4 linked regions of the Lepisosteus oculatus genome follow. The protein of the gene in region 1 purifies or fractionates together with the protein of each later gene. This does not show direct contact. Links are inferred from orthologs where the notes say so. Each region holds a gene or a part of one and is shown on either strand. Other genes may lie near its edges. The genes, in order: actr3b, arpc2, arpc1a and arpc5lb.

The links.
Region 2: the proteins of actr3b (region 1) and arpc2 purify together in Homo sapiens (affinity purification with mass spectrometry; 6 studies listed by BioGRID and IntAct, counting the BioPlex papers as one, with this or other methods). This does not show direct contact. The link is inferred for Lepisosteus oculatus from reciprocal best matches to the Homo sapiens genes ACTR3B and ARPC2.
Region 3: the proteins of actr3b (region 1) and arpc1a purify together in Homo sapiens (affinity purification with mass spectrometry; 5 studies listed by BioGRID and IntAct, counting the BioPlex papers as one, with this or other methods). This does not show direct contact. The link is inferred for Lepisosteus oculatus from reciprocal best matches to the Homo sapiens genes ACTR3B and ARPC1A.
Region 4: the proteins of actr3b (region 1) and arpc5lb purify together in Homo sapiens (affinity purification with mass spectrometry; 3 studies listed by BioGRID and IntAct, counting the BioPlex papers as one, with this or other methods). This does not show direct contact. The link is inferred for Lepisosteus oculatus from reciprocal best matches to the Homo sapiens genes ACTR3B and ARPC5L.

The regions. Positions count from the first base shown.
Region 1 is NC_090701.1:10,984,433-10,991,611, reverse strand, and holds the start of actr3b (actin-related protein 3B), read right to left. Parts: upstream 3,024-7,179; 5' UTR 2,863-3,023; coding exon 2,819-2,862; intron 421-2,818; coding exon 365-420; intron 1-364. UniProt on the Homo sapiens protein: Plays a role in the organization of the actin cytoskeleton.
Region 2 is NC_090707.1:22,142,357-22,149,488, forward strand, and holds the start of arpc2 (actin-related protein 2/3 complex subunit 2), read right to left. Parts: upstream 3,011-7,132; 5' UTR 2,846-3,010; coding exon 2,772-2,845; intron 683-2,771; coding exon 648-682; intron 1-647. UniProt on the Homo sapiens protein: Actin-binding component of the Arp2/3 complex, a multiprotein complex that mediates actin polymerization upon stimulation by nucleation-promoting factor (NPF).
Region 3 is NC_090714.1:10,186,144-10,193,058, reverse strand, and holds the start of arpc1a (actin-related protein 2/3 complex subunit 1A), read left to right. Parts: upstream 1-3,899; 5' UTR 3,900-4,098; intron 4,099-5,522; 5' UTR 5,523-5,559; coding exon 5,560-5,623; intron 5,624-5,767; coding exon 5,768-5,872; intron 5,873-6,298; coding exon 6,299-6,527; intron 6,528-6,915. UniProt on the Homo sapiens protein: Probably functions as a component of the Arp2/3 complex which is involved in regulation of actin polymerization and together with an activating nucleation-promoting factor (NPF) mediates the formation of branched actin networks.
Region 4 is NC_090719.1:13,112,070-13,119,718, reverse strand, and holds the start of arpc5lb (actin related protein 2/3 complex, subunit 5-like, b), read left to right. Parts: upstream 1-4,641; 5' UTR 4,642-4,914; coding exon 4,915-5,055; intron 5,056-6,966; exon of another isoform or gene 6,967-6,985; intron 6,986-7,649. Other genes in the region: rpl35 (large ribosomal subunit protein uL29), read right to left, coding at 442-578, 2,011-2,013. UniProt on the Homo sapiens protein: May function as component of the Arp2/3 complex which is involved in regulation of actin polymerization and together with an activating nucleation-promoting factor (NPF) mediates the formation of branched actin networks.

The sequences.
Region 1 (7,179 bases):
CTTAATAGAGGCGTATTCGAAAAGAAATTATGACTTTTTTCATAATGCACCTATTTGTGTTTTTTAAATAATGTACATTCGATTTTTGTGCACCACCTAGTTATTTCTTGGAGTATTATTCAACTGCTTTTTCTACATCATAGTTTTTGACCTAATGTAAGAAAGTGTATCACTGTGTACTGAGCATCAAAAGAAATGTAACACTCCATATGTGTGTGTTTTCAGAAAATGCTACAAAGCAGAAGGTTATTTTCCTAATAATAACTTTGAGAATCTGTTGCAGTTGTTTCCTTTGAATCTCAGTACTCAGTACTATAAAAGCTGGCTATATTTTCATGGCCTTAACTGCTTAATTAATACTCACATGAAGGTATGATGAACTGTGGTTCAGTATTCCCAGCATAGCCAATCTTTGTGTATCTGTAGGTACAGAGCAGACTTAGTGTTAGTTTTATTTTTGTTTAAAACCCCTTTGAAAAACACAAAATATAGGCCTGCATTGAGTGAGACCCAAATATATAATTCTGCATTATTATTGCAAATGCCTGTTTGTCAAATTCAGTGATTTAAAGTGGTGCCAACAGAAAGCAATTTGTATTTCACAAGCACCTGTTCATCTGTTCATTGCATTGTCTGTGTTGTAAGCCTAAATGTGAGAAATACAAAAACCAATATCATATACTTTAATGGAAAGAAAATGTTGTAGTTCTTAGAGACAAAATGAACATCACTTGCATGACTAAACTCAAATTTGTAAGCAGCCTTGATCAATACGATGAAATGTACTAAAGAACATCAAAATTGAAACTTCTCCATTCCTCATCAATATATGTCATGATAATTACAAGTTTTCAGGTCTTTTTACATTTAAATACGGAGGCCTACCAATGCACTAACAAGATACTGTAGTGCAAATTTAACATTCTAATTCCCTTACGATACACTAACAACGTTAGGAAAATAATGCACCCATCTGAAAGTTTATGCAGTATCCAAAAATCTTGACCGATTATTCATTGCAACCAAAGATATACACAGATACAGTCTTTTAAAAATATGACATAACCAGCTACATAAAATATTTCTTTTGTTACAGACATGAGGTTTGAAAAGGATAATACATCAAAGGACATAGAGGTTAACATACTGTACAGTACATGTTTGATAAGTCCCCTTGCCACTGTCTAGAATCCCAAACTGCTACATCTACAGTAGTCAGCTTTCACAGTTGATTACAGCCTACTAATCAACACATTAAGATTGAGTAGTGACCGTGTTTTCCTCTCAGGGATGCACCGTTGGAGTTCTGAGGCTCTGAAGTTCCTACAACACCATTTGCATAGAATGGAGGAAAGATGAGGCTAAAACCACTGTAAACTCAAAGGCACCCAGATCGTCACTGTGGTCACTAATATGCTACAATAACCCAGCTGTCCCAAACCTACCAATCTCTGCAATACCTGGTGAATTGTGTTCCGCTTAAAGTTGTGACTTTAAGGAATCTCAGTCACAGCAAACTAATGATATGGCCCAGTCCATGACAAATGACACACCCATTTTAGAGACATTTCATCAACAGGGAAGCAGATTAGAAACCTGAATTTCATGTTTCCACTTTTTCATTTTGTATGGTAAATATTACCCATCCCTCCACGAAATCATAAATGAAAAGGGTAAAATCAGTTCTCAGCTAAATGCTGTGTTGAACTTTTAGAACATTTTATGTTACAAAAAAAAAGTACCAATCACTATTACAGAATCTGAGCCACGCACAGACTGTAAAATATCTTAATTTTGCAAAGAAAGGGGGCCATACAGTACAGTATATAGGCCTATCAACAGATGTGCATACGGTATTAAAAACACTAAACCTTTTATTTTGAATTTCATTTATTTGTGCCACTTTAGTTAAACCTGAACAAACAAAATATGACCACTATTATTGTGAGAAAAGCTGAGCCCAAGATTATATACAAAAGTACTACTTAAGTATTTCAGAGATATTTCATATTCAGAATTCATTTAGCAATATTTGGTGATTACTTTGCTTTAGATATATTATTTTTCTACCATTGTATACCAATTTAATTGTTGTTTAAATTTACAACTGCAGTACAAAAGTGTTAACATTTGTATGTGAATTATTTTACCCTCAGTATCATAGCTACCATACAATAATAGCTATTATTTATTTTCATATTTTACTTGGTATATAGAACAAGTTGATAATGTAATTCAAACCACAGGCAAGATTATCATATTATGATATATGCGTCCAAAAATAGCATTTATTCTTGTCTTTCCCTACAATGTGATAAATGTCAAGTTTAACTTTAACCTGTTAGCCTTGTAATCCACAGACCTTCTGTATAACGGAGTATCCATGGTTTGTAAAAAGCTAACACACTACTGTACACTATATGCATAATCGATTACTATCTACCATAAACGAGTGTCATTTCTATTCTACAGGTCCCCACTGTTAATTTAAGATAGTGTATTTGAAAACAAGCTTGACAACAATTTCATTATGACAAAACCTAGTTTTTACACAAGTAAAAAATTATTAAATATAATAAATCGTTTAATGACAGCAATCCGCACCTGTCATTAAACGACGTGCACCCGTGTAATGACACTATAATAACCAAAAGAAATGTCAGTGACCGTCATTTTAGACAACACTCATTAAGAAAACCTCAGTGTAAAACGTGTTTATGTAGTACGTGTGCCGTAGAGGTGTTTGTTCAATTTTAAGTATGTGCAATAAGTAAACTGATCATTAAAAAACAAAAATTAAATACAATCGCTAGCTCACCCAGTTCCACAGTCAATAACGCAAGGAGGTAAATGCACAGCCATTGCTTGGGTTAGACAAATATCCCTGTTTTACTGTAACATGAATAAATAACAAAATATGTATTTTGACTTCTAAATTAAGGAAACCGTACTACAGGACACTGCAATGCCAGATTACCCCCATGTACCGTTACTCCTCCGTAATGCTGACAGCATGAATACTTCCCGAGTCAAAGGTGGAAAACATGGAGTCGTTCCTGGATATTAATCCGAAACAAACAGGGAGAGCTGTCCCTATGGCAACGGGTATGGCCTGCTTGGGATCATGCTGTAGCTGCATAGACAATCAAACACGTTATTTCTTTTTAGTTCTAAAATTTTAATACCTAGCATCTATAAATCAGCTTCATATTGTTGTGAAAGAGTAGTACGTGCTTGGACCGTGACGTGTTTATTTGCTCCATGTGTTTAGTTCGTTTAGTTTTTCCGTGGCGATTTAGTTAATACTGTACATTGAACATTATGTACTTGGATGTCTGTAGGCATAGTTACAGTGCAATACTAAGAAGAAATGTTTAAATTGCAAAATACAGCACAGTCACGGCGTTTATAGTCACACAGTGAAGTTAAAAGTTTAGTTTCAAGATACAGTATGGGCAGGCACTAAGGGTGTAGGATTGCAAAAAAAAAAGCACATTGTTCAGAAAAGCTTTTCTTGTATCTTGTCAACAGCAGTGGGTGTCAGTCGACACGTATGATAAAACAATTTGTAAGTCAGATTGTCTAATGCTATTGGAATTGCAATTTTTAGGGGGTGACAACCGTGAGAAAATACTGTCGTTGTATTTTTATTTTATAATTTCCGCTTTTATTTGCACAGGCACTGAACAGGGCTTTATACAGTATGAGGTGCCTGCTATGAAAACAAGACACAGATTTATAATAGCAAAATTAGTGTTTGTTGTATAAGAGCAACTATTGTGTATGGAAAAAACAAAGATATGGGCTCAAAACAAAGATAATTCATTCAGACATGCCATTTTTAAAAGTGCTAAATGTAAAAAAAATCCATATAATTCAAAATGGGTGATTTCTGAGCCATCTAAGGTTTGCAGGCTTCTAACTAAATACTGTATGAACAAGTATGCAGATTTCAATGGTGCAAAGGGCTGGTGTATATTTTTTTACATTATTCATCTCCTGGAAAACTCAGGTTATGACAGGAGTTAATTTGAAATGTTGCTTACCTCACATGTGTTATTGTTTTATTGAACTTGGCACACTCACAGGATGTGAATGAGTAATATATTTAGTCTGTACTGTATTTTTTCAGGTCACAAAATTGGAAGCAATTAAATATATACAGAAGGTTTGGAGGTGGGTGAAGGATTACACCTTTCCCGCAACCCTGAACAGATATAACCATTGTAAATCTGAGAAGGAATTCATTTACATCTGTAGTCGTCTACATTTTTATTGTGTGTGAGAGATGTGGTGAAATTGTATGTCTTCTCATAAATTGAATTTCAAATACATTATCAGAAAATATAGTTGCCTTTTTTCTGGACAGACCATCCTATAATATAAAATATTTGGTCTTTCTTTGTTGGCTCTAAACGCTCCAGATATATATTTTTAATGAACCACAAGCTCATGACCTTTTGGAAAAATAAATCATATGTACATATTTCATATTTTTACATGTAAAAAATTTAACTTTTAAGTAAAACTGTGAATGGGTTTGCTAATTTTACCCAACTCAGCTCTACTTAAATCATTTATATAAGGCCCTTCCAAAAGTAAAAAAATAATAACAATGGCTTAAAGAAACCCATCAGCTTTATAGATTGACATTTACAGTATATTCCAGAGCTGAGGATCACAGAATCACACAATCAGCAGAATTTTCAGTCGTTTAATCTTGCCTGCCACAATGAATATAACAGTAAATTCATAACTAGCCAACACAAACCTCCCAAGCACATTGGTGCACACAGACTATTTGTGGCTGTAGGGATCAAGAATAATACAGCTTTCTCCTGTTATCTCCATATGCATTGCATTTTGGACTCCTAGGCTCTAAAATTTGGCTTCACCACTGACACTGACTGCCTATTTTCAACACTGTTGTTTAATTTGTTTTTATACAGCAATAGTTTAAGCTAAATTCTTCAATATTCAATGACAACTGTCATGATTCACCACTAGATGGGGATGCTACCAAAATTACTGTTGCAGAACCTATTCTTGCTGTATTAAAAAAGAAACATCTTAATATTAAAATTGGTATTGTAATCTGCAGTCTACACAAGACTTGTTATTAAATGACGTTTTAGTTTATTTTTATAACTACTGATTTTACTTGTAGGCTTTGGTTCTCCCTCGATGCTGTACAGTATATTGGATAAAGCAGTTAGAAAATCAATGGATGATTTGATACATGTAGAATTAAAATATTTTAATCTTAGGCCCTTCTGACAATTTTTTTTAAAGAATTGATCATATCATACTTTCATTATTGTTGTTTATATCAAAGTAATGGGTTAGTATTACAGTAGGTCCTGTCTGCTAAATCACACTGCACTTTGTTTGAGAAATGGGACAATTGTGCAGAACCTGTAATGTTCTTACATTTAAAGAATGGTCAGAAATGCTATTTACCTCAAAACTGCTCCTATGAAAACATTTGTCCAAAGTAACATAGGATAAACTACATCTACAAAATTCCAATGATTCATAACAGCTAAGTATTGAAGTAATGTATCATAATACAGTAAAATGTATCATGACATTAACCAGTAAATTAATTTTGTTTAAAAAAATCTCATTCAACTTTTATGAAATCGACAGATCCCAGTAGACCTCCTTTATAAAGACTCCTGAACAGAAAAAAAATTATAAATCCACTGAAACATCATGTCGATATCTGTTGTATGTCACTGGAAAGATTTATGCTTTTATATACCTTTCTTGTTATTGAACCACTTTAAAACGTGTCACTTTTTTTAAAAGATATGTTTTATCAGATGTTTAGTGACCCAATAAAGTATCCATGTTTTCTGTGTAACTGTTTTTGTTTCAATTCTCAAAACATCTTTATCACTCTCTTTCCCAGCCCCTGCCAAACAGGACTTTCAAGTAAAGACAAGTTCTGCAAAACACTAATATTTATAGTAGCTCTGAGAGCTAAAAATCCTGAATGGTTCATTAAAGTCTACAATTGAGTAAAAAAATTATCTGGTGCCCCATTATGAAACTTTCTTCAGATGTAAGATTAGCATGCAACCCATACACACTCAGATGCTTTTGAATTTCAAAACATTGGTGACTGATAAGTTAATAATTAATTAGTGCATTTTCCCTACCTGTATGTATATTATAATCAGAGAAGTTTGAAACATTATTATTGTATTATATTGCAGATACATATACAGTATATACAAACAACTTTGTTGGGCTCCTATGCTAAAACTCTTCTAACATTATAAAGGACATCACAGCATTTACATAGTAGGCAAGACAGGGTCAGATTCCTTTTAAGTTTTCTTATGTATGACTTTCCATGTTGGATAAAGCTGTACATACAGTATTTATACAGTACATACATGTTGTAGAAGGGCAATATTAACTGGATTACATTCCCCAGAAGTTTGCAAGGAATGACACTGCTGTCATCTGCCCCGCTGGTTAAATTAAACTGGTCTAGTGACAATTTAAGCATCGTAAAGTGGGAACTTGCATAGTTCCACATCTGCCATCACCAAACAGAGAATTTGCTGAATGTGCTGCATCAGTGTGAAAAGGGGTTAAACTAAAGAGACCAAGAAAACAAAAGAAACCAAAAATGAGTGGAAACTGATTCATGCCAGTAGACAGTGTAGCTAACCCACTTTCTAATTATACTGAGGGATTCAAAGAGATTTCGGTTAGTGCTCAGGTGAGCTTTGTTTTGTTTTATGTTTTGAATAACGTTCTTTCACACTATAAGTAAAGCGCACTATTTTACATTCACTATTGTTTCTGTGGGCAGTGTAATTGTGAAGTAGACAAGGTTATTTTAATGATTTTAATGATTTTACCACATTTACCACATTTTTCCGTGCTCGATCGTGGAGAATGTGAGCAGTATGTTGTGATCTTGAAAACCACACACTCTACAGACAAAAAGTGATAGTGCAAAGGAGTATTTTTTTCATCCCATAAATACTCAATAGAGCCATTACAGACTTCTAACGAACCTACAGAACTTCCACATCGACTGCTCTGTTGTACGCCTCAATTACCAGATCATTCGGCTTGGCATTAAATCACCTCATCACTTGTGCCTAATCAACCTTCTCACTAATGAAGTGATTTAGTGCTTAAAACAATCAAAGTCTC
Region 2 (7,132 bases), on another chromosome or scaffold:
ACTCAATGTAGGCGAAATCAAAAAGAACAGAATGTTTATTCTACTAAAATTGCTGCATTTTCCAATGCTGCATGAGGCTTGAGAGGTTATAGCTGATATAAACCAAAAGAGGTAAAGATAAGCTATACCCAGAGGGACTACTACAAACTCAACTGCAAACAAAAAGGGGGAGACATAACTGGGAAATAAAATAATTGTTTAGAAAGGAGAAGAGGAAACACTTCTTTACACAAAGAGTTGCTGGTGTCTCGAAGATACTTTCCAGTCAAGTGGCCGAGCCTCAAAAAGTCTCCTTCAAAAAGCAGCTGGAGAAAATGTTAGAATTTACTTCTCTTCTAAACTATTAAACTGGCGAGATAGGCTACAGGGCTTCTGCTTGTGTGCAACCTTTCTTATATTCTTACATGTGAATAAATAACATCGTATTCCAGACATAGAACCACATTAAATAAGGGATCATTTTCTAATGGACAACATGCACCATTTATAAGAGTTTATAAATAATGTGTCTTGGTGTCACTGGACAAATGAGAAATGGGGATTTTTTTTTTTGTTAGAGGAAAAATAAAATACAAAGAGTACTTTAGGTTTAAAAAGTTTCACTACATAAGACAAAGGTTATATATGTTGAACCAAACTGCACTTACCCGCAAATGTTACTTCTACTGCCTCAGGTTTGTTCCTGAAAAAAAACAGAAGTATAATATCAGTTACGTTAACAATAGAGACTCTGTGCTAATGTGTGTGAGGGAAACGTATAGACTGCAAACTCAAAAGCTCGTATCAAGGGTGAGTCATTTTAAAAAATGTGGTAGAAGTATTAACTGTCCTTTTAAGTATCACGATAATTGCAGTACAGTCACTTTTAATTTTTTTTTTCTGGCCCCTAGCATATATTTTGGCATGTTTCTTTAGAATGGAGACTGTTCTCCTGGGATGCTCCCAGGTCATCATCTGTAAATGTTTTTAAGTTGTTTTATTAAACAATAATGCTTTAGCTACCTCCTACCATAAAAAAAAAATCAGAAAGTAGAATTATTTAGCTTCTTAGATTGAGTTGGTTCAATTTGTTCTAAACTGGATTTCTCAGTCTACCATAGTGCAAGAAGGTTACAAAAAAAGCAGGAAACTCAATTTTTAAAAATATTTCTAAACAAATATGTTAAAAACTACATCTAGTTAAATTACAACTAAAGCACTAACCATTTATTTCTTTGAAACAGATTTATTGTATTTTTCTTTTCAAAGGCATTATTTCCACATGCAGTTTATTGTTTGTAATTACACTTGCTGCAACAGAATTTCACCTGAACAGCATCATTACAGAAGATATGTAGACTTCCTCTCCATCCCCACAAGAGTGAACCAGTGACTGCCAAGGAACACATTACCTTGTGTTCTAAACAGCATTCCCAGTGAAAGAAAAGCAACTAAGTCTCTGCAAGATAATCAAAAGGTTTCCAGGAACACACCATTCATAAGATTTCCAACTAAATAAAATTCAGCGATACCAGAAATACAAAATATCCGCAACACACTTCACACACTATACCGTTACAAAAGACTTCGGTATTTTGAGCAACGATAAGGTTTTTGCTGTGCACCATGCACTAACAAAAATCAAACCAGATAACGCATGAAATATATGACTTTATGGCCTGCATTGTTTTTCTACGGTGATCTTAATTTTTTTATACCACGAACACTTAATTTTCAAGCCAAAGTCTCAGTATGGCAGCAGATAATCACTATCCCCTCTACATTTCCCCGTGCCTTCAGCGGGGGATGAAGGCGGATTAGAGGTGCTCTCCTCTAGGTGAAGCACTTTGGTATTCGCTACTGCATGTGCTGCTCGCCGGCTTGACTACCCCTGCCTAGACTTGAAAGGGGACTCCGGAATGCGGAAGTGCATAGGCAAAGAAGGGGGCTTCCACCAAGCAAGTGGCAAATTTGACGATAATTTATGAAAGAAATTACAAAAATAAAATAAAAAAGAATTCCAAGCTCGAAAAAAGCTCGACCCAAGTGACCACAAATATGTAAAACTGCGCCTGTTGCCAATTCATTAAATGCGGAAGTCATACGTTAAAAGCGATCATGAGACTAACTGTACGAATTCCGACGATAAAAAAAAACAATGAGTGACAATGATAATTATGAGATGTAAAGTAATATGTAGACAGGTGTTGTGTTGTTAGGTGGTGTTAGACCCGTCTCGTCTTAATGAGGTGTCAGTTTTGCTGTCACTGCAGCTTTACCTCTGTAACGAGGTGTCACTGTTGCGATTCAAAGCTCTCCTAATCTACAAATCCTGAAGAATACAACAATACGTCTTTGTATTTATATACAGAAGAGGGTAAAATGCTCTCATTACTTATAGTCATCAGTTAGAGCAACAGTAGGCTTAAACTTTATTTTCCGCTTTCTAACTTAGGCCGGATGTTGAAGTACTTATTGCATCTCGACTATTACTACTACAGCAACCAGCGACAGTTAATGTCATTAAGTAAACTGCAGGAGTGTGAACTCTCATTATTTCTTGACATTAGACCACTTTTAAATAGATTATATCTTAAACGATAGTCTTCACTCCTGTCCTGTAACAAAGATAAAAAAGACACACCCCAGTTATTACTTACGAACATTCCCAGCAAGGCCGCTGCGTTTAGCCTAGTATTTTAAGATTCATTTAAGAAACACGGCACGATCAGACTGTATATCTTTAATAGACAACGCATTTTATTATTAATTTTTAATTTACATTTTCTTACCCATTGGACGCACTCTCGAATTTCAGACTCAACGTCTCCTCTATAATACGGTTGTTGATTTCCAGAAGAATCATGGCGATTGAAAATGAATTCCCAAATCGTAATATAAGACGTGCTTTAAAAAAAATGCTTTTAATTAAATTGCAATATTTTCGTTTTCTTCTCCGCAATCTTTCTTATTCTCTCTGTCCCTGCAAGGCTGTTCCGCCCAGGCACTTCCGCTTGTCTTCCAAGGACCTCCAGTGAGGTTGTCCGGAACTATGCCTGTAGTAAAACAATTTGCAGCAGGATGACTGAATGTGTTTTTATCCCCGAATTAACATAATTTAAATTAAAATAAGTGTATGTGCAATAAAAATATTCTGTTGTATAACCCCAGTTATCTATTCGTACTTATTGTACTGTGTATGAATACCTGTTAAAGGTTGAGATAAAACAAAACCGAAAAAGCTTAAAATATCACATACTGTACCGAGGGCCCATACAAAGAAGCCTTTGAGTTACTGGAGACGTTGAATGTGTAATAGATTCTGCTCATTTGCTTCAACCAGTGGACACATATGTGCTTTTTGCACAGGCTTTTATAAACAAGTATTTCTCTTCCATAACATATATGACTCTTCTACAGCATATATAGCTTTTTACTGTCTGCGCGTTACCTGGCTAGTATTGAGCTGGCTTTACTGAGAACTGTAATTTTAAACTGAATATTTGGTTATCACAAGATGGGAGGATTTCTATTCATATGCCTTAAGAATCTATGAAACAACTGCTTATTCTGTGCTTCAATGAATCACTTGAGTCAAGCAGACACTAAAATAGAGACTGGTTTTGTTCACAATAACTGATTTAATGCCCTTGAGACCTAATGCTCAACTAAAGCCTTAAAAAAAACAGAAAAAGAGATACTAACTCATAATTTGAAAAGTAAATTGTCACTCATTCCCCAAAACATGTTTAGTATTTGCAAGACAAAAACACATAATGCAAACATTATTCAGCAAAAAGGAAGCTTTAAAGTCTGCCATAATCCCATTTTTAAAATGAAAATAATTTCAATTTTGTATGAAATATTTTTACAGTAATACATACTATTAGTACATTTTGGCATGGTCTGTGTATGGACAACATGGTGGCACCGTGGTTAGCACTGCTGCCTTGCAGTGCTATGGCCCTGGGGTCAATTCAGGACCAAGGTGCCATCTGTGTGGAGTTTGAACGTTCTCCTGCTATTTGTGTGGCTGGTTTCATTCCATAGTTTAAAAATATACTAGTAGATTAATTGGCTTCTGGGAAAAAAAACAGCTCTTGGTGTAAGTGTGAATGTGTTTGTACAGTATGTCTGTTCTGTGATGGACTGGTCTCCTGTCCAGAGTGCCCTGACTTGTGTGCATTGTTTGCCAAGATAGGTTCCAGCTTTCCCTCAACCCTGAACTGGAAGAAGCAGTTAGAAAATAAATAGATGGTTTATCTGTGCAGGGAACACAAATAGGAGATCTCATCAAAATATTTGTCATTTTTCAGAAGGTAGTGCCTTCATCCATCAATGATCAGAAAGCCAATTATTACTAACATCACTCAAAGGCGGAAGATCCAAGGCAGGGTTTCCCTCTGGATGGGATGCCTGCCCATACACACACACATATGCATGAGGACCATTTAGTGACAACAAATGGGTTAGCCATAATGTCTTTAGAATGTGGGACAGCATGCAAACTCAAACTTAGGATCTAAGTGCTTTGAGGCAGAAGCAAATAACTACAATATAAATTATTGTGTAATATAATTTAATTTATTATCATACTATAAATTAAATATAAAGAAAGGCACAACATAATACATTTAATTTTTATTTAATATTATATTGATTTTATAATTTACATAATGTATATTTCCAAATTAACTATTTTTAAATATTTTCACACTACCTGCATTGTTTGTCCTTCTTAAAGCTCCTTACCATTCATTAACTGCTGATTAAACACAGGAGTTTCCCTGGAAAGGCTTTCATAATGCAGAGTTCACAAGCTCTGAATGTAAGATTTGAAACTTGATATTGAGACATTGTTTTCTACTTTCTCGTTTAACAATTCCTGCACTTCCCCTTTCTGTTTTATGCCTCTCTCTCTATATCTTTAGTATTCTGTTTAGAAATTCCTGCTTGTAAAAGTTATAAAAGCTTTTAACAGAGACAATACATGGCATTCTCAATAATTTGTATTTCCTTAAATCTCTTCCAGGGAAGTGGGAGTGCAGTGGTGTCCTGAGTAAAAAGTCCCATATATAAACAAGACATAAGATTTTTTTTTTAAATCACCTTGTATACCTGTATATAACTTAGGTCTTGCTTACAGTATATGTCATTAATAAAAATACTAATCAATCAGCTATTTACTACCACTCAGCTTAGCTTATAGACACACCATCTGAACCATAATATAAAAGCATATTCACATCTGAAGAAGGCTCAACGGCCTAAACGTTGTGTTTTCTTTCTTCTTTTTTTTTCAGCATGGAATAAACCTATTACTTGTTCCTTATAATAGATACTGTAAGAGCAGGTTAGTGAGGTGAGGTTGCATTTCTTTTTTGTTATGGAGTTGTGTTGTATATATTGCTAAGAATATAATGTTTTTGTACTGTATTGTGTAGGTAAATTGCTGAGTCTAGAAATATTGCACCTTTAATAGCAATGTGTAACTGAAATTCATTGTATGAATTTCCCTATTTGTCACATATTGTAAATGGACAACTTAAGAGACTTTTGCGTGTTGGGTTTATCTATTCAAATGATATCATTAACACATTTTAACAATGGCAGTTTCAGAATTCTTTCAGAATATATGGTGCACTTTGCTAGAGCAAGTTTTTTTCTTGCAGGTCTGCCTTAATAACACTTGTCTTTAAAAGGTTTTACAATGCATGGTATTAGTAGAGGTCTCTTCACTTGCACAAATAGCTAGGTAATTAGAAATTAAAGCTAGTACTTGTTTAGTTTTAATTATGTGTTCTCATAAATGCTAATTTTAGGTATATAATTTAATTATCTCCTTCGAGGAGCAGTGACAGTTCTATTTATAAAACAAATCAATTGGAGAAAATGCCCCATTGCAAAATATTATGACATGAAATATACATTAATAAGGAGCATTAGTGTGATGCATAATTTAAATTAAGTCTTATTGGTGACCTTTTTCTTCTAATGCTGTTGCACTGTATAATTGTCAAATGCAGAACTGTTCTAAGAAACAGGATGGAAAAGCCATCAGATGAAAATTGAAGAAGTTCTGATTTATTTCTCTTTAACATTAAATTACAGAGTAGATTATGTTTTTAATTAATGTAGATTTGTTTTGCTACCATTTCTCTTGCTACAATAAACATGTTTCATGTCTCCCACTCTACTGCATTCATCCTCTGCCCAGCTCATAACCCATCTTCTGTTCCTTTTTCTGTTTTTATGGAATTTCAGGACAGGCAGGAACAAGTTTAGCTGTAGTAATCAAGGCACATGGAACATACCTGTCTGAATTCCTAAAAGGTACAGAGTGATCTGAAATTGCAAGACTGAAGCCAAGAGTTTTTCTGATGATTTATTTTAAATCATGATACTGTATATCAGTGCATGTCACATTGCTGTACAATATGATCCATCATAAAAAGAAAACAAATTTCTAGATGTGAAAAACTAATAGACTAATATTTAACACTGGTAAATCAAGACAGCATCCGTACAAATAAGTCTTCTACAGATTCGTAATTGATCTTTTACAGCATTGATTACTGCGATGCCCTTTTTGCTGGGGTAAATAAAACCACTATCTAATCAGTATGTCCAGAATTTGGGCAACCGGGATCCTGACCAGGTGTTGTGCAAACAATCACATTACTCCTGTCCTAGTCCTTGCACTGGCTTCCTATCAATAATAATAATAATAATAATAATAATAATAATAATAATAATAATAATAATAATAATAATAATAAACTTTATTTTATATAGCACCTTTAAAGGTGGCTTCTTAAAGCGCTTTACAGAATGACAACAACAATAAATTAAAAGAATACACAAGATAAAACACAATTACAATGCACAGAGGAGACCGTGGATGGTGCTACTAAGTATAGTAGGAGCAGAGGGGTAAAGAATGGAAGTTACGTAAAGGCTCTTCTAAAGAAGAAAGTTTTGAGTTTGGATTGAAGGAGTTTAGAGAAGGTGACTCTCTGATATCCTTGGGGAGAGAATTCCAGAGCTTGGGGGCAAACAGGAGAACACCCTGTCACCCATACAATGTAGGTGGGCTTGGGGGACAGTAAGGAGGCTTGTGTTGACTATCAAGTCTTGTGTTGACTTCAAAGTC
Region 3 (6,915 bases), on another chromosome or scaffold:
TTGTGTCGTGATGATGGGATTGGATTGGGAAATGCTGCACTTTCATATCAAGGATGGAGAGTGCACCTCTGTATATCACCCTGCTACTGAATGTACATGAACAAGCTGCTTCAAAGTCTTAAAGCATAGTTGTAATAAAGCAATGGATGTAATTAAAAAAGGTTGTCAGTGTGTTTTTGAGCCTTTTATAAGTCATAGCTAACAGCGGTTTTGTATTAAAAAAGGAGGTGATTATTTTTACATGCTTTTCATATTATTTGTACTCTACAAGGGCAAGATTCAGAAGATTTAATTCTATATACAACTTACTTCATTTTTGTCCTGAAGGGAGATCACCTATAGTAAATCTAAATGTTCTTTCTATTTAACTTAACTTTCCATTTATTCTGAGAATTTCACGATTTCTTTATATTCCTGGTAGGCAGTCTATCTGTACTAGCTTGGCTGAGGCACATCTTATGTACCTGTGCTGCCAGGCACAGTGCTGCATCTTAAGTCCAGTTACTGTATATAGTCCATTAGGGTTCCACCTAGGACTGAAGAGATTAATGAGGGGAGCAGGCAACCTGTCTGCTCTACTTCACAGTGCTGATGTCCAGTTTATTTTGACTTGTGATCTTTTACTCTCATATTATTTAAACACAGTGTCCTCCAAAAATATTTAGACAACAAATTATAAACTGGAATTTACACTATAATATGTGTAGATTATGCCGGTTTAGGGACGCCAAATATGTTAGAAAAGTGGCTCTCCGAAGGCACCAGTTCTGTAGGGTTTGGGCATTTACTGAGACAATTTTTAATTGTAGCAGTAAATCACAAAGTTGATTCTTTTGGTGGCTTTAGAATCCAACCATGCGATATAACTCAAACAACGCACACACACAGGTACTAATACACGAGGATACATTTATTAATACATAGAATATGCATATAAACCTAACAGATCTTATCGAGAGGGTTATCAGAATACAAAAGGTATATTCGGTCAGTTACAAAGAGTTACACATCAAGAGGAAATACGTTCAGTATATCATTCATTAAGACCGTTTCGTAAAGTGAACTTGGTTACAACTTCTACATTAGATACTCAAACAAGTACATAACTCTTAGGAATTAAATTGATATCAACTGGTTTGGATAACAATTGAATTCTCGAGCTGTAATGCATTGAAGTTGAATACTCTTCCAATCTCTGGGGATTCAGATCTCCTGCGGGCACAAAGAAACAGTTGCAGGCTGTTGCTGTCCAATCTGCGCTCTCTGGCTCGGTGCCAGGCTGTGCTGTGCGGCTTGCGACGGTGCGCTGCTGATGCTCACTGACCGGCTAGTTAGTGTTGGCTTTAACTAGCACAGTTTGTGCACAGGAGAAAAGATGACTGTGGGTCCCAGCAAGTCAGGAAGAGGACCGGTTCGTTCCTGATGAAGCGCTAGTTCTGAATAGTGATTCAGCTTTCCACAGTTCCGACCTGTTCACGAGGCCTGCTGCTGGTTACTCTCTGGCAACCTCCACTCTAGACTCTTAGAACAAAGGAAAGTTCTGGCACTCGGACACACTGGCCGTTCCGTGGTTGTCCGGGCTGAGTCTCAGGATGGTCAGGAGGCGCGCTGCGAGAATGTCCTGCCCTTGGGATTCTCCTTTGAATTCCTTCTGAATCTTGTCTGAATCTTGTTGAATCTCTCAGGCTCTCTGTGTTGCCTGTTTTTACCTGGAGGAACTTCAGCTCATTCATTGGCTGAAAGTTCCATGGGCATCAGAGTCCCACGTGGGTTACTCGGCCCTACCGGTCCCTGATTGGTTGATCAAGGTGAGATATGAGTCACTTAGTCCTGACACTTAGGAATGCAATCCAGATGTCCAACTCGCACTCCCTAGACAGATAGGCGCCAATGGGTGACCATTGATCATGATAGCCAGGCTTAGCTAAGTGCATCCCCCTTTGGGAGCTGTCCTTGGACCTTAAATCACCTTGCATGAATGGTTTCTCTGTGGCTGCACCACAGAGATGAACAGAGAAATGAGGCCTAATTTGGGAAAGCTCAGAAACACTTAATTCTGCCTTATTATTAAGCCTCGCCGCTACATATGTAATAAGCATTTCTCATTATGATTGATAATTGCAGCTCCTAAGTATTTTATTTTTTATAAGGTGACTTCAGTTCTACTTTCAAACAATTACACATATTGGTAGTGTTGAACCTATTTAGTTTGAAGGAGTAAACACTTGGGAACAATCACATGACAGGTGTCTCTAGTTGGCCAGGTGTTTGTTGTTGGTAATTAGGAACTCATAAAAGATCTGTGAACATCCTATCAACTTGTCTCACTTTGACTTTAGTGTTTGGAGTCTGTGGGGGAAAGCCAAAATGAACACCATAGAAGATTCTATTAAAGGAAAGTAGATTATTAAGAAGAATAGCCCAGAAACTTGACAAACTAAAATAAATACTTTGGAATACATGGAAGAAGAAAGTAACCAGGTATAATTGTCAATCAGTTAAGACTGGATTGGGGGAAAACTCTTAAACACCTGTCAGTCACCAACAACCTCCAGGGCTCAATGATGAAGGTATCAAAATCCATGGCTCATAATAGACTGATCAGAGATCAGAATTCCAAAGGCTACACCTTAAGATGTAAACCTCTCATTAGCACCAAGAACAGAGATAAGCCAGGATTTGTTAATAGGATACATACTGGAATTGGATAACTTTTCAATTATTCTGGTAAAGGTGAAGGTGTGGAGAAAGAATACAACTACAGATGCTCTAATCAACACCACCTCTTCTGTGAAGCATAGTGGAGGTAATGTCATGGCCTGGACATAAATGACCACCTCTGTGTAATAAAATAAAACTTTATATTGTGCCTTTAAAAGTGGATTCTCAAAGTGCAGTGAGAGGTGATACAACAGTTAAACTGTTACAATGAGGGTTTAAAATACAGTAGGAAAGCAAAGGGGTAGACACAGAACCAGTTAAATAAAAGCCTTTATAAAACAAAATTGAGTCTAGATTTGAAAGAGCTCAAGGGAAGTGACTCTCTGACATCTATAGGGATCTAATTTCAGAGCTCTGGGGCATAGCAGTAGAAGGCTTTGTGACTCAGAGTGAAGACCAGATTGGGGGACAGACATGAGACCAGAATTAGATGAATGGAGGTTGTTAGGTTGTTAGTAGGATGATAGTAACTCAGACAGCTACTGAGGTGCCAAGCCATGTAGAACCTTATAGGTGAGCAGTAGGACTTTGAAGTATACCTGATAGGAAGTGAGTCTGAGGACTTCAGGATAGGAGTAATGTGATCACTTGCGCTAGACCCGGTAAGGATTCTGGCTGTTGAAGCTTGGACATAGTGTAATTTCTTCACTGCGGATTTACTGTAGATACCCCAGTAAAAATGGAAGTGTTGACCAGCTTTAGCGATATTTCTGAGGTGGAAGAATGTTTTACAATATGCTGCACATGTGGGTCAACCCTGGATAAATATCACCCCCATATTCTTCACTTTAGGTTGAAACTCGGCACAGTACCTTCCACAGATAACCTTACTGCATTGGCTTTACAAAGCTTAAAGCCAGCATAGTGTAATAGGACCTGGTGTTACAACCTATGGCTGTTGCATTGCCGTGGATGCTATGTAAAGCAGTTTGAGACCTTTTGGAATGAAAAAAATGCAAGGAATGAAAGTAAATAGAATTAATAATGACTATAATTAACAGCAGCCAATAATTGTAAACATTTTAATTTTTGATCTTGGTCTTGTTCATCCTTTTAATTCTGTATTTTAAATTAATTTCATTGGGTGTTTGCCGTTTTGTAAAATTGTACATGTATCTCCTCCCGTTTGTCGTCACCGTGCTATGTGGAGAGTGATAGGGCTACTCCTGAGTTTTCTTTGTGCTGTGATTGGGCTGCAAGCTTGCTGTTAAATCTGGGAACAGTGGGTCCTTGTTATTTCCTGGGTTGTCTTGCAGTTCCGAGTTTATCGGAGTGAATTCGTGTCGACTGCCCAGAGTCCACGAATTCAGGTCCGCGCCGACCACAGAAACCGAAGCCTCTTACCCGAAAACCACCATCGAAACAAGATTCTGAAACGTAGGTAGAACATGTACTCAAGATTACAGGCCTACCGGGAGACCGGCTTGCTCGACCTGTGCTATGCTGCTTACAATCACCAGGGAGCAGGCTTCCGCTCTTGGGAAAAGCCGGTGTTTGGAAATTAGAAGGGTGAAAGAAGAGGCCTTGTTTGATTAATGACTTGGATTTTATGTATCTTGTATATATCTGTGATGGTTAAGTCCGTGTTCTCTATGGTTATTTTTCAAAGGCAGTTTTTCATTCTAAATACCTAATCTTATTTTCTAAGTTACCGAAGTCTTCCTTAACGATCCGGTTAATTACACCTAGTATGACAGCTCTTTGAATGAAATATTTTAGTTTATTAATAGAAATTAATAATTAAAACAGTTTCGTTTTTTAAAATATTATGTCTCCGTAAATGCAAATTATGATTTTTAAGGCTTGTAAACGCGTTGTATATGAAATTTAAACCTTACAACCGCTGTCTGTGTTTGAAAATTACACAGACATTGCACTGAAGCAATATAGAATTAGAAGAAGTCTAAAACAATATTCATTTTATAATAATTATTTTAAGGCGTTTTCCTTTTTGGAAATACATAAGTGACTGCAGCAGTGATGGAAAAACGTCACACCCACGAATCCGTGTAAAATTCCAGATACCGGCGGTTTATTCTCTTCCGGGTTCTTATGAAGGTACCTATTGCTACACGTCCAGTGATCTTTAGGTTTCTTTTTTTAATGCTTTTGAAAGCTTTGATTTCTTTTTCCTTGTCTACAGTAATATGTATAATAAACTAAATACATTAGGAAAATGTAGCAAATGGTGTGTAAATTCAACGATAAAATAATTATAGGTGGGATTTTCCTAGGTATAGGTGCTTTTCCTTAAAGATACATATTGTACCTGTTTTCTGTCCTTATTGTTTGTTTCGTGCAGTCGTGGATATTATCGCTGCATTGAGATTTACAGACAGGAGTTTCCTAATGCGATATTTGACCGCATATCTCTTATGTGAAAACAGCAAAAGCACAAAGATATAACAACGCACTGGGTGGTTAAATCGGGTACCCTGAGAAATGTTAAACAGGTGGAAGAACGAGCAATTACTGTCCACTGGTAATTCTGATAGTTAAAAATGAGACAAAATAACGTCCTACAATGCATTGATCTGTTTTTTAAGTTTTAATAAACTGAACCATTCTAAAATAGTATCAAAGGGATGATTAAATTAGCAAAGGAGGTAAGAAGGCTGCGATAAAAGAAACGATTTGTGTGTGCGCCTTTATCATGTGGTCTGATCATTGTGCAAGCAAGTACCTCTCTTTTCGGTTGGTAAAACTTCCCACAACTTTGCATATAGGATTGCTCTGTTTGAAGGTGTCATCATGATTGATTACTCCAGTTTTACAATGGATGTTTTTTTTATTTCCTGCAGAATTTGGTCAGCTGCCTGAGGAATCTCTTGGATCATAATGTCGCTGCACCAGTTTCTTTTGGAACCCATCACCTGCCATGCCTGGAACAAGGACAGGACTCGTGAGTGACCCCTATAGGGCGTATGAAGAATATTCCTGATAACTTGTAATGTTAGGAGCCCATTTTCCTACCTACGTTATTTTCATGTTGTACAGTGTTGAATATGGGTAATCTGTGCTTTCTTTTTCTATATTTCTGTTTCAGAAATTGCTATAAGCCCCAACAATCACGAAGTTCACATTTACAAGAAGAATGGAAACCAGTGGGCAAAAATTCATGAATTGAAGGAGCACAATGGGCACATTACAGGTATATTTCAAGTGGTTGACTTTTCTGTCACAACAGCCTCTTAGTTTTAGTTGTGAGGGTGGACTTGCAGCCAGTCTATTATGTTTTCACTGCTTTCTGAATTACTAAAATATATCTGGTTAATCACCATTGGTGCTTAGTGGTTCTTATTTGCACAGGATTTAAGTAAAGCATTTCATGGCTAGAGCCTTGATCTCCACAGAGGATAGGAAATGCCATCTTGCATTAATAGTCTTTTAATTCGTAGAAAAGGTGAGAATATTTGGTAGTTAAACAGGAAGTTTGGTTTTTACATCAGTCACCCATGAGAGATTTTTCTTTTCTTTTTAAGAGGAAAGAATTAGAACTTATTACATATCGGACACTGGAAAATTAAACTGAATGCAGCTGTACAAATTACATTTTTATGCTCTTCTCTCTGTGCAGGAATTGACTGGGCCCCTAAGAGCGATCGTATTGTTACGTGTGGTGCAGACCGCAATGCCTATGTCTGGAGTCAGAAGGATGGGGACGGAGTGTGGAAACCGACACTGGTGATTCTGAGGATTAACCGAGCAGCCACGTTTGTGAAGTGGTCACCGCTGGAGAACAAGTTTGCCGTGGGCAGTGGAGCTCGGCTCATCTCCGTGTGCTACTTTGAGTCTGAAAACGATTGGTAAACCTCACTGGAGTGGATGAATGTCAGCTTTCCCTGATTAGATGCTGCCCAGTTCTTTATTTTGGACTTTCACAATTTTGCTGATTGATCCATAAATTCAGAGGTGTCATGCTGTATCTGTGTGGTAATGAAAGTTACCCTCTGAATCTGTAGATCACGGTCAGGTTGCCTCTTAGAAACTACCAGATTACTGTAAAAAAAAAAGTTTCCAGGATGTCGATAGACTGTTGCTCCGAAGAAATCACAATCAGATCTGAGTGTTGGTTCTAATCTGCCAGTTTACTCTTAGCAGTAGCTTAAGCATTTGGTTGTACAATATAGATTTTCTCTTCCCTTAATTTAACTAGCATTTTCTGTAGTGTAGAGAGCAGAAGCAAATCTGAAC
Region 4 (7,649 bases), on another chromosome or scaffold:
ACAGAGTTTAAGTGAAAAACCTTGTTTAAATCTAAAAAAAGATTTAGTCAATATAAGTGGGTTTGAACTGGGACTTGAAATCAGAAGCAAATATGACAAGGAAAGGAAACAGGACAAGATGAGCCAACACTGAGTGCCAGTCCTGGGGACTCTCACTGAGCAACAGTTTAGTTCATCTGAGATTGCAAAACACAGATGGCACACAGCATCATCTTCTCTGTTACAGACTAATTTTGAGTCCCTTTTGCTTTGCTATGACACCAGTACATCCTGCACGGGAACCTTTAGTTTAACATGATTTTGAGCAAAACGCCAAGAAATAAGGGGTCTCAGTCTCCTCGTCTTTGAATCTCGTTAAAAACTGCCGGGTCACATCGACATAAAGCCTTTCGGCCGCACGGTGCGCGGCGACGACGACCCCCATCGGCCTCCGGGACTTACATCTTGGAGAGCTTGGAAGCAGCTCCCCCGGTGACCTTGGCAACGCGGAGCTGGGAGAGTTCCACCTTCAGGTCATCCAGCTGTTTCAGCAGCTCTTCCTTCTTCTTCCCGCGCAGGTCTCGGGCCTTGATCTTCGCCTGGGCACCGGGACAGACGGCGTTAACACACAGCCCCGCGCGTCCCCATCATCTCCTGCGCGATCAGCCTCAGAAGCTAAAACTACAAAACCTTCTAGGCCAACACCCGGGCTGCGGAACCATGACACCCTGCTCATCTCTTGTGACCCCAGCTCAGGTGTTAGAGCCATCAGGCACCGGTTAGAAAAGAACACGACCACTGTTCACAGCATTTCAATACACTAATTGATACTTTTTGCATTACAATACAAAAAGTTGGCTGGGCCACCCAGTGGTACACCGCCCAGGCTCCTTAGAAGTAAGAGTGTTTGCAGGGTTTTTCCAATAAACTGTGGGGCAACAGGTACAGGTTTATTCCACACTGAAAGGAAAAGAGACAACATTTCAGCTCCACAGCCAAAATGTTCTCTTTTCCTTTCGGCGTGGAATAAACCCGGACCTGTTCCTTTGCAGCCTGTGCAAGCCGACACAGCTGGGACTGGAACTATTTCTATGGACTGGATTGCTCTCTCCAAAAGCAGATGCCTATCCAGATGCAAGGCGTTCCTGTTGGACCCACAGAACTGACACAAGTAGACACTCCAATATTTTATTGTCCCCAGTGAAGAAATGTGGATCTGTATCTGCTTTTACGTGCATGATGACAAAAAAAAAACGTCTGTTCCACTAGCGTGAATTGAACTTTCCAAAGGTGAGCACACAAGCCTACCTACTAAAACTCCAATCAATACAACTACAAACAAGCGGCATTATCATTGTAAATACAACTAAGTGCTTTCTTGCAGCAGAACAAGTTCCCCCCATAAAAATGTATGAGAATGTTTTAGAGGGAATCTTCTTTCTTTACACTGGCCTGCCCTGCACTTTTGTTTTTTAATAGGTTTCTGAAAGCAGGTCCTCAGCTTCGATTCAGAGCCGCACAAAACGCAGCCAGTTTTATATAGGTTGGCCAACGAAGACTAAATATCAGAAAAAAAAAAACAAACGAATAAAGCCTTCCGACCAAGAATTTTAGGAACCCCCATATTCCAATACGATCATCGCAAAAAGTTATCAAACAAACCCCGCACCACATGCACAAGAGCTGTCCATACAGCGAGATCAGATGATGCTTAAAACAAAACGGTTAACAGTATATCAATGCTATTCTATAAAAGAAGCGCTGGAGGGGAAAACGCTACGATTTATTAAGCCATGCGTTATTCTAGCCACGTAAAAGAACCCGACAGCCATAACTAGTTTATAAAGTGCCCAGTGAGAATCAATCTATTAAACGTATTATATAGAGGGAAAGTCGTGTTTCAACTGGTTTAATAACCCATCTGACTTTTAACTAAGGAGTTTACACACGCTGGCATGTGTTCGTTGTACATTATAACGTTTATAAAGCGAAGGATTAAACGAGATTGGATTTGGAAGAACGGTATCTCACCATCGTCAGTGCTGGCTGTCACAGGAAAGGAAGGCCAGAGGGTCACGGCGAAGCTCTACCGGGTTACGGGCGCTACCAACGTATTTCACAAAAGGGGGGGGGGGGGGGGGAGGCTATAGGAATGTTCCATCTGTCACTCGAATTTTAAAACCTTTCCCTTATTAACCAATGTAACATAATCGTTTACTTTAGTAAAGACGCACATAATGTTGATTGTATTGTTGCAGACGCTACCGACCGCTAATCTGTATATATATAAATCACGTTGTTGTTAGATGCAAAAGCTGACGTTTAATAAGGTTAAATGTCTCCCTAATTTATAGATACTTGTAGAGGTTACCATGTAGGTTACAAAAAATAAGTTAAAAATTTGAACACATTGGAGAGAACTATAAAATGTTTTCTGATTGTAATATCCCTGATACGTAACATATTTTCCTTTTGAAATTAGGATACTGTGAACACTCTTAAAATAAAATGTAGATTAGTGGTCTTCTGTTGAGACGTTTCAGAAGAAAATACCATTCCTCTCTATAGTTATAGAGCTATAGCATATGTGTTGTCATTTATATCACATTACAAAATACATCATTCACGTCCATTTAAATCAACACAATACAATAACCATAACAAAGCACGAAAAGTAAAAGCTGACTCGTATCTTAGCTGTTAAAATGAAATGCCCTATAACCTGCGAGGTAACCTACAACCGGGCTTCATGTGGGAAAATTAATTCAGAAGGTATTAATTTATATTCCGTACGCTCGCCATTAAAAGAGGTCTCCTAAGCGAAGTCATAAATTAGGTTCTTAATTTTATTAATAGATGAGCTATCGTGAGAGGACGTGTCTTTAATAATATACCTATATTATGCTACATTTCATTCATTCACATTCCAAACACAACCACAGCCCACACATCACAATAATAAATAACACTGACAATATTATTCAATAATATTTAATCACATTTAAAACTAAACAATCACGTTTACTACTGTGAAGTGACACAAGTAATAACTTAAAAAAAAACGACACAAATTCTTAAGGAAAGCCTCCATTTTGTGGAAGGCGCACACTTTCATTATTCATTCATCTTTTACATATGCGTCAAGATCAAGGAAACGACCAAGGGATGCAACTGCGTGTTTCTTTAAAGAGTCACTGTCTGATGAGGAGTGGCAGGCGAACTGAACCTCTTATAAAAAAATAAAGCATCGGTTTCCTTTAGCCAGTGGCACTGATGTTCATTCAACATCCTTTAGGGCCACCATGTATTCTGGTTTTCACTCCAGTGACCCATAAATGGCTTAATAGGAATCAATTGTTCACTATATTGGTCAATTTTCCTCCAATTCCGGGTTGCAGGGAAGCCAAAAGCTAAACTGGCGAGCAACAGGCACAAGGCAGGATACACCCTGGACAGGATGCCAGTCCATGGCAAGACAGACACACAGACATGCACAAACTCACACCGGGGCCATTTTCCCCTGAGGCCAATAAATCGACCAGTGTCTCTTTGGACTGTGGGAGGAAACTGGAGGAAAAACCACAGGAACAGTGGGAGAACACGCAAACTCCACACAGACAGCACCCCGAAGGTCCAGGATTGAACCTAGCTGGAGGATATTCTGTTTTCAATGGAGGGGTAAATTAGGCAATTAAGCACCCAGACCCAAGATCTGGAACCCCTGCTCTAGACTGAGGTAATTCAAGATATTGGTCTCACACGCTTATTACTGCCACTCGTTATTAGAGCCGAGTCGAAAAAAGCGACCACAGCTCGGGTAATACCTAATAGAAGTTTGGGTCTTCAGAAAATCAATTATTTCGAACTGTATTTAGTTTTCCTCTTTCGTAAAACCAACATGGCACACTTACATTATTGATAAATATCGCCGGAAAACGTTCTTATACACAGCACCATTTTGTATGTTTAAAATGAGGGAACATATTTGATATTTTTCATAAACAGGAAACGAGCCTTTGAACTGGGGAAAGGGGTGTATGGAGTTTGTTTAACAGCGGAGCCATAATAACAACAACAACTTTGATTTATTTGAAAACAATATATAAAAAACAGCTCTACGCCCTCCGAACAACTCAAAATAATGTCCCCAGAGGATGGAACCGCTTCAGGAGGAAATCACTCAAAAGTTGCGTCAATTTCTCATTCCAAAAACGACTCTGTACGACTCATATGCAACTATTACTGGATTCAACTCACATCTTCCCAAATGGCAGATCGCCACCTTGGAAGAAAATCTTAAAATCCATATAGATTTTTTTTTAAATAATTCAACCCCAGAAGAATGTTCTTTTTAAAAAAAAAAAAAAAGATTCATCGATTGACATTCCCGGTCTCACAAAGTCACAACCATTCGTTGTGAAGCTGTATTTCATTGCATTACATTGCACCTCTGTGCAGCTGAAGTGAACGACTGAAGTCCCGGACTGTAGAGCGACGGGATAAAACACCTGCACACAGAAGCCCCGGCGCGACACCGACGCGCCCTGTGCGCCCGGCTCCGACCCTCAGCCGGCAAGACGGTGTGCCACCACCCACCTGAGCGGAGCAGCCGGAGGCTGGCTGCATCAGGTCTGGGTTTTGTCGCTGTGAGGTAGTTCCGTTTCCGCCAGTCTAGAGAGCTGCCATATTTTTGTCTCTCTAGAGCCCAGGGAGGGAGGGAGAGAGAGAGAAAAGGAGGGGAGGGAGTGAAAGACAGAGGTAGAGAGTGCAGAAGGCAGGCAGGCAGGCAGGACTTGGGCTACATGAGTGTCGCTGCGCTTTCGGCCCGTTGCGAAAAGTACAGTATTTGGACACCACCCCCCACCCCCCTTCCCTCTCCTCCCCGCCTGCCCCCCGGACCCGGCCAGCAGCAGGACTGGGCCAGCAGCAGCCCCGATGGCGAAAAACACCCTGTCGTCCCGGTTCCGGAAGGTGGACATCGATGAGTACGACGAGAACAAATTCGTGGACGAGCAGGAGGAGGCGGCCGAGCAGCAGGGGCCGGACACGGCCGAGGTGGACAGCCTCATCAGGCAATATCCTTTTTTTATTCCCCTCTTTTCCCTGGGACGCGAATGGAAGCGCATTGGGTTTCAAATGACGTGCAGATGGGTATGCATCATCTCCATAGACTAACACGGGTGATACTGTGCGTGTCACGGGGGTCGGGGTGGGCTGTATTGAAAGGGGGTTACCCGAAAGGTACCGGTCAAGCCTCTGAAAGTTGCCGGCATGGGCTTTTTATTGCAACTTTTCCAAAAGCAATCACGACCTCGGCAGCTGCTGCGGCCGGAATTGAATTCACGGAAAAAACGGAGCTCCACATGAGCTGCGACCAGAAAGCGTTGGGGGGGGGGAGTCTGTTTTTTTTTTTTAAAAAGAAAACGGGGGGACAGTTTATACATGCGTTAAAGGATCTGCCCTCAAAACGCATGCGACATGAATCCCCGAATGACCCCCCCCCGATGTTTTCATTGACAAGATGAGGCTGGCTGGAAACTTGGCGAGTGCGAAATCATTTCGCCCAAATGCGTCTCTGCACTTTTGACAGGCTGAAACGTTAAGGTGGCGTTAGCCCAAGAAACAGGCATGGTCTTGGAGGGGGGGACGGCCGTAGACGTCTTCAGCTGGTCAGGTTAGTTATTAATCGCCTCCCCTCCTGGTTGTGAAGCTAAGTGGGCAAAACCGGCGGAGGTTTTCGCCCCGACCAAGCTGTGCTGTTTCACTGGCCCGATGCGCCCTTGCTCGCTGCTTCTGCCCCAATTCACTTTATCGCACAGGTGCCCCGAGCAGGAGACCAGAAATATCAGCCACCACAACCCCCAGACCGGTTCGTGTAGCTAGAGAGAAGCACATAGCCTGTGTCGTGGGTCTGGGCTGCCCACTCGCTGTGTGTATTTTTAGAGGAGGGGTGAGACACTTCACCGCCGCCGTCTTTATCTTTGGGGGTTGCGCTTTAAATAACCTCCCGGGATCGTCCCCCCCGTCGGATGACCGCCCAGTAGACCACTTTCTTGCGCCTATTTCCGAGTTTAGTGGATTAATTCATCTTTCTCATCTAGAACCTCACCAGTACTTGGGGGGGGGGTGACCTCAATTTACAAGTGGGACCTTCTTGCAGTACATACCATGGTACACCCCCATGGATAACTTTTATTTTTCATGTTCACGTTTTATAGACAGGAATGTACCTCGGCGGTTTTTGGTCTTTCGCCTCCACAGTGTGACTTCAGGGTTAAGAATAACTGGATCGAGAGCACACGGGGAAGCTGGTGCAGTCTGTCGTGCGAAAAACGCCTGTACGTTGGCAGTATTTTGCATGCATATCGCCTGCAAGTACCCAGGACATAATACGTTTCTCCTGATCGACCGTTTTAAGATTTGCAAATAATTTGGATGTCTTTAGGTGCTGGTTTTTAGATTTCCAGGTCTTTAATAACTATTTGAACGGGTTCCGAGCGCCCTGTCAGCTTTGCTCTGCAGACCGAGGGCTGTTTTGGAGCAGCCTCGCGTTAGTCATGCTAATTAAAGGCGCACCGACGGCGAGTCTGATGGGCCTGTCAGCTGCACCCTGGTTAGCGAATGTACTGCGGGCGACATTCAGGGCAAAAGCATAAGTGCACTTGAAGGAAATCAGGGGGAGATTGTACTTGATCCTTACTCTGTTTGAAGCTCAGGTACGGTATTACGGCACCCCCTGAAGAATTAGGCTTGTAGCGTCTCCCCAGCAGATGCAGGATTATACTAGTTTAATAGCCCCAGACCGAAGATCTCCCCCCCCCCCTCTCAGATCCCAAATCCTTCCCTCCACTTGGCTGTGTCCAGGTGCCAGGAGCTGCAGGGGGAACAAAGCCATCTGCTCCGAATTGCGCCAGCAGTCGGCTGTTTGGATCCGTCTTTTTCGTACGGCGCAGGGGAGGTAAGTTGGCTGTGCAGGTTGGACGTGGCGCCCTTGTTCTGGGGTGGACTGCAATCACAAAGGAGTAAATAATGTTTTTCCCCCTCAAGCCTGCTTTACCAGTATTTTAAAGCGAAGGTGTTTTGTCACTAAACGGTCTGGCTTCTAAACCGCTTTGTCCAGTATGGGGTTGCGGGGGGTGGGAGCTGGAGTCTAACCCACCAAACATGACCTTCAATTCCTGGCCTTACTGGTGGTTCTTTACGGACAGGGTTAAGGAACTGAATGGGTTTGGTCCTCCCTAATTTAGACGGAAACAGTAGTGCGCTGGATTTGGCAGTTCAAATTCTAGGGGTATCACCTGTCGGGAAGTTCTTTGAGTTGACTGCTACACAAGGACTCGGATGGAAAAGAAACGTGTATCTTTAGCATTTCAAACGACCTCATTTTCTGGGAACAAAAATCAAGGGTGTCCAATCATAAGTTCCCAGCCATATCGTCAAATCCTGATCCCTTGGAGTTCTTCAGGAGATGGACAGATGAGAATGGGGGAGTAAATGTCTCGTATAAGGAGCACAGATGAACTGGGCTTAGTGGTTCCTCTGATTTCTATCTGCTCGTGTGCTCTCCTGTGCGGTGCTACGGTCGACCTGTTATGAAGAGGATGTGGCTGAGCTGTGAGACCAGAGGAGGCTTTGTAACCCATTACTGCTCCTTCTGCCTGACAAGAGCT